2 linked regions of the Callithrix jacchus genome follow. The protein of the gene in region 2 interacts with the protein of the main gene of each other region in a pairwise test. Links are inferred from orthologs where the notes say so. Each region holds a gene or a part of one and is shown on either strand. Other genes may lie near its edges.

Region 1 (2,419 bases), on a different chromosome or scaffold from region 2:
TATCTTCAAATAACCCTTAAATTTAAGTCAGATGGCATTAGGCTAATTTTATAGAATAAATTCAATCTCAAAGAGGATATAGTCCCCCAAAGATCCCACAAGGAATAATATATTAGGCAGAGCTAAACTCGTACACACTCAGATCCTACGTGCTGTGCTAACAAGTTTGCTAAAACGGATGAAGCAGCAATTTCCCAGGTCCCTTCCAATGATCCTGTTCTCTGCTTCTACTTGCTATTTTTTCTCTCTTCTCTCAACTAGGGTTAACATTTAGCATATATAATCGCCAAATTTCATTTTCATGGTTTTTAAGTTATTCTTTAAATTTTTCTATTTCCATGTTAAATCCAGAGAAATGTACGTTTTTCTAAAGTTTCTACTGCTCTCTGCCTCTCTGAAGCCATGGGACTTACCTATTTGTCAAAGCAGAAATTCCCAACATTTTGTAAACACCACAAATTACTTTTTGTAACTGTAAAGACAATTATTCCATACTTAAAACCAAATCAAAATAAAATAAATCCTCAATACTTCTTACTCCCTGGTGTAATTTTAATTAGATTCTATTAATTCGTTTTCTCCTGTGTGCCTATATTTGGGAAATATTGTTAGTGTACCTTGCTATCAAGTCTTTCCCTGACCCAAAAAATGACAGTTTTGAGTCAGGAAAGCTTTTATTTTCACTATCACATGTGAAGAATGAACGAAACACTTAACATGGAAAGTAAAACTTAAATGAGGGATTCAGAACATTTCCCAAGGGGTCGTATGACCAATCTAAAAGTTGGCATGATGTGCCTAAAACAACAAATTAATTATTTTACTTAAAATAAAGGTACAGATGTGCTGATAGTCATGCTGACATTTACATATGAAATATGCCTAAACAAAATTTAAAAAAAACAAAATACATGCTATGGCAATCTTGAAAAGTCAGGGAGCTCAATAAACATTAAGAGTATGTTCTCACAATAAGAGCATTAAACACTTGGTAATTAACATAATTTAATATGCTAAAAATGAGAAAATATACAGGATGAAAGATGAGGAGTACACATAGGACATTTTAGTGCTTTTCTTCATTTTGGTTGTATTGCTTTCTTGTCTTCAGGAGGGAAGACTTTGACTTCAAAAGTAACAAAATATTTAAGAAGGGAATTCACATCTTTCTGTTCTAAAAGGTACTCTTGCGCTATTTTCTCAGCAGTCCATGTTTCTGGATAAAGTTTATGATTATTGAGAAGTGTCAATGCTTCCACAATAGAAATCTTGCCTTTTGGAACGCTCTTAATATTTATCATATCAAAGTGTTGGCCTTTTGGCAATCTGAATTCCTCTGGCTCTTGAGGTGTTTCAGCAGCTTTTACCTAGTATCAAACAAAAGAAAAGCATGAGAGAAAAGATTTGACATCTACTTTCACACTTCTCAAATCTACACTATTCCTCTTCAAATAACAACTGATATGATTTGGATCTGCATCCCCTCCCAAATCTCATGTCACAGAATTGTAATCCCCAATGTTGGACGTAGGCCCTGGTAGGAAGTGACTAGATCATGGGAGTGAATTTCCCCGTTTGGTGCTGTTCTCGTAATAGAGTTCTCACCAGATCTGGTTGTTTAAATGTATGTAGCACCTCTCCCACATCCCCTATTCTTCTTGCTCTGGCTGTATAAGCTGTGCCTGCTTCCCCCTCTGCTATGATTATAAATTACCTGAGGCTTCCCCGGCAGCAGAAGCCATTATCCTTTCTGTATAGCTGGTAGAATTGTGAGCCAATTAAACCTCTTTTCTTTACAAACTGCCCAGTCTCAGGTATTTCTTTAGAGCAGTGCAAGAATGAACTAACACAAATACTATACGTCATTTCCCAAACTTCATTTTCTTATAATGAGCCATAGTTTAATGGTACTTTTGCCAGTTTGCCTTCTCATAACTATAGCTCTATCATTATTAAGAAATGTAGGTAGCTCTAGAAAATAATATCAAATTTATACTATCCACTAACCACATTATTTCATGTGTTTTAAAAGCACAATAAAAATGATTAAAAACTGCACCTGTTTTAAAAGGGCAGGATTCTGATGCCACCCTAACAGCTGGCTTGATAACATCTATTCATTTTCCAGCTTTGTATTTCATACTCAGCTCCCAAACACCTTGAATAGTGATCTTGTCTCCCCTGAGAAAAAAATGCCTCCAATACACTCCAGTATAAATAAAACAACCTATGCACACCCATCCTTCCTTCTATCTGTCCCATCCCAGCTTAACCTCCACACATGTGCTCTGCATTCCAATCCTGTTTCCTGGCCATGTCTAGCATTCTTTTTTTTTTCTTTTCCTTTGTTTTACTGCACTGTGCCTACTGCTGCTTTTTGGTCAAACAAATGCTATAGCCAGTACCATTTTTAACATAC
Region 2 (2,668 bases):
GCCTGTAATCACTTTGGGAGGCTGAGGCAGGTGGCAACATATTAAAACCCTATCCCTAATAATACAAAAATTAGCTGGGCGTGGTGACATGCACCTTTAGTCCAGCTACTTGGGAGGCTGAGGCAGGGGAATCACCTGAACGCGGGAGGCAGAGGTTGCAGTGAGCAGAAATCACCCCACAGCATGTCAAAAAAAAAAAAAATTAGGTGCAGTGGTGGGGGCCTGTAATCCCAGCTACACAGGAGGCTGAGGCAGGACAATCACTTGAATCTAGGAGGTGGAGGTTGCAGTGGGACAAGATCATACCACTGCACTCCAGCCTGGGTGACAGAGCGAGACTCTGTCTCAGAGAAAAAAAAAAATCAGTGATTTTGTGAGAAAAGGCATTGAGGTCCTCTGAAATCTGCATGTGAGCAAGGTCTAGAACAGGTAAACATACTATCCTAAGTAATCTAGATGAAAAAGTGACCCCTTGGTTTCTTCACATTTTTCTCCAAGAGCTCAGTGAGCCAGCAGCACCTGGCCAGCAACACACCTGATACAAAATGGGAGAAGTGTATAAATTATTATGTTGGTAAGCAAGATAAATGCCAAAGGGGAGATAAGGGTGAAAGCACTGGGAACTGGCAGAGTGTAGTCAGCAGGTCAGTTCCTGGTGGTTCACTGAGTAGCTTGGCCCAAAGATGTGAGTGAAGTCCCTCCTGGTGGAGGGATGAGAGCAGCTCCGGTTACTCGGCCTTCATTACACAAGAAGTTGAAGGTGGCACAGGCATTGGGCTGCAAAGAAAAGGCCAGAATCAGCCTGTCTAGTGCCAGGCCTGTACTCCCCACAGCAGGCCCCAGTTATAGGACTCACCGTGTCCTGCACTTCCACAGCAATGCCCCGCTGCCTCATGGCTCGAAGCACCCGGGACTGCAGCCTCTCAGTCCGGTCTCCAGTCCCCACCACAACAATCTCTAGGGAAGTGAGGATGAGACTAGTCTACAATTCTGTTGAGAGGTTGGAGTGGGGGTTGCCTTTTAGGGCTCAAAGCACCTCTGCCCTGCCTCCCCTGTCCCCAGTACCTATCCGGGGCTCCAGCATCCAGAAGAGGGAAAAGCTCTCTTCGGTGATGTCCTGGTGGGATCCCACCTGTGCAGGGAGATGATTTATTCAGTACGACAAATCTACGCAGCTTCTCCCCACCTCCATCCACTACAGGAGATAGAGGAAAGCCACGTCTACAGGGACACAAGCAGGCTGAGGACCTGTGACTCTGGACCTCAGTTTCCTCACAGCGGGTCAGGACTCACGTTCCATTGCAGCAACGAATGCGGGAGCAGAGCGCAGGGCCCGAGCACGCGGTTTCCGTTTATCATGAAGCCGCGGCTGTTGTAACTGTCGATGTACATGGTCTGAAAGCCTTCGCGTTGCAGCAAAGAGATGTGCGTCCGCTGATACAGTTCGTCATCTGCTGGCGAGAGCCGATGCCCCCGTCGCGGGGCCCTGCGGAGGGAACGGGTCAGGGGCACAGGGCCGGGACGGGCCGCCCGAGAAGCCAGAAGGTGCGGGGTGGCAGTCGCCGGCCCTAGGGGGTGGGATGGTCAACAGTGAGGGGTCCAGCTCACCAGGAAAATTCAACAGGCAGACAGCGCAGCGAGGGTCTCGCTCGGTACAAGCTGCGTAGCGCAAGAGCGGTGGCCATGGCTGATCGACGCGCGGCGAAGTCGTCACTGACGCCGGTTGTTACCGGGTTGGCGGGGCCCTGCGGAGGCTGACCCAGCGCGGGTGCAGCGCCCCCTGCGTCCCGGAGTGCACGGCACAGCTCGGCCGGCCCAGCCGGCGAATATCATCTGTCCTGGGAGGAGGACAAGTCCCCCGGCCTCCGGCGCAGCTCCGATGTCATCACCTGCCCCTCGCCCCGCCCCGGGTCCTTGCCCACAGTCCCAGGGGAGTGGAACACCTGGTAGTGTGGCCGCCCTCGGCGTTGCGTGGGCCGCAGTTGCGGCCTGGACCCCCGGCTCTCAACTATTAAGCCGCGCTCCCGAGGCGGGGCAGCCACCCACCTAATCGTGAACCGAACACCTGGCCAGGCGGTCCATGCCAGACTTCGAGCCCCTAATCCTAGCCTTTGGGGCTTCAGGCACCGTGGGCGGGGCAACCAGCTCAAGTTTCTCCGGCTCACAACCGAAGCAAGTCCCGCCCTAACCGTCACCCGCGCGACCGTTGGCCTCTCAGTTGCGCGCTAGAGGGGCGTGGCCTAGCGTGGATTGGCTTATCGGGTGCTCCAGGAGGCGTGGCCAGGTGGTTTCGCCTTAAAATAGCTCCAAGTCTGCGGGCAGCCAGAGCAAGCGGAAGGGCAAGCTGTGGTAGTGTTGGGGTTGCTGCTCGGCTGGGCCAGACCGGGCAGAACCGGACCAGACTTGAAGTAGAAACGCGTGGAGCATCACCTTGTCCTCGTTCACTCTGCTCTCGTCCTGGGAGTCCCCAGTCCCCCGTCTTGAACCAAGTCAAGGGCCTACTGGCGCGAGAGTCGTTGGCGCCCGCGCGGGGATTGGGTATCTCGGCACGCTGGCTCTGTCGTGGCCCCAGGGGAACATTGTTGCGTTCGCTACTCGCGGGGCTGGGCGAGCAGGGAGCTCGGCACAGTCGGGGCCTGGTGGTGGGTCTCCTGGGGGGCGGTCGTAA

Evidence for each region.
Region 1: the proteins of NDUFAF3 (region 2) and NDUFAF4 interact in binary tests that used the Homo sapiens proteins (3 or more experiments, as listed by UniProt). The two-hybrid records come from large-scale screens. The link is inferred for Callithrix jacchus from reciprocal best matches to the Homo sapiens genes NDUFAF3 and NDUFAF4.

What each region holds. Positions count from the first base shown.
Region 1 is NC_133505.1:102,832,366-102,834,784, forward strand, and holds the end of NDUFAF4 (NADH dehydrogenase [ubiquinone] 1 alpha subcomplex assembly factor 4), read right to left. Parts: intron 1,368-2,419; coding exon 1,080-1,367; 3' UTR 656-1,079; downstream 1-655. UniProt on the Homo sapiens protein: Involved in the assembly of mitochondrial NADH:ubiquinone oxidoreductase complex (complex I). May be involved in cell proliferation and survival of hormone-dependent tumor cells. May be a regulator of breast tumor cell invasion.
Region 2 is NC_133516.1:31,651,256-31,653,923, reverse strand, and holds NDUFAF3 (NADH dehydrogenase [ubiquinone] 1 alpha subcomplex assembly factor 3), read right to left. Parts: upstream 1,710-2,668; 5' UTR 1,686-1,709; coding exon 1,609-1,685; intron 1,487-1,608; coding exon 1,294-1,486; intron 1,133-1,293; coding exon 1,066-1,132; intron 958-1,065; coding exon 857-957; intron 778-856; coding exon 661-777; 3' UTR 547-660; downstream 1-546. UniProt on the Homo sapiens protein: Essential factor for the assembly of mitochondrial NADH:ubiquinone oxidoreductase complex (complex I).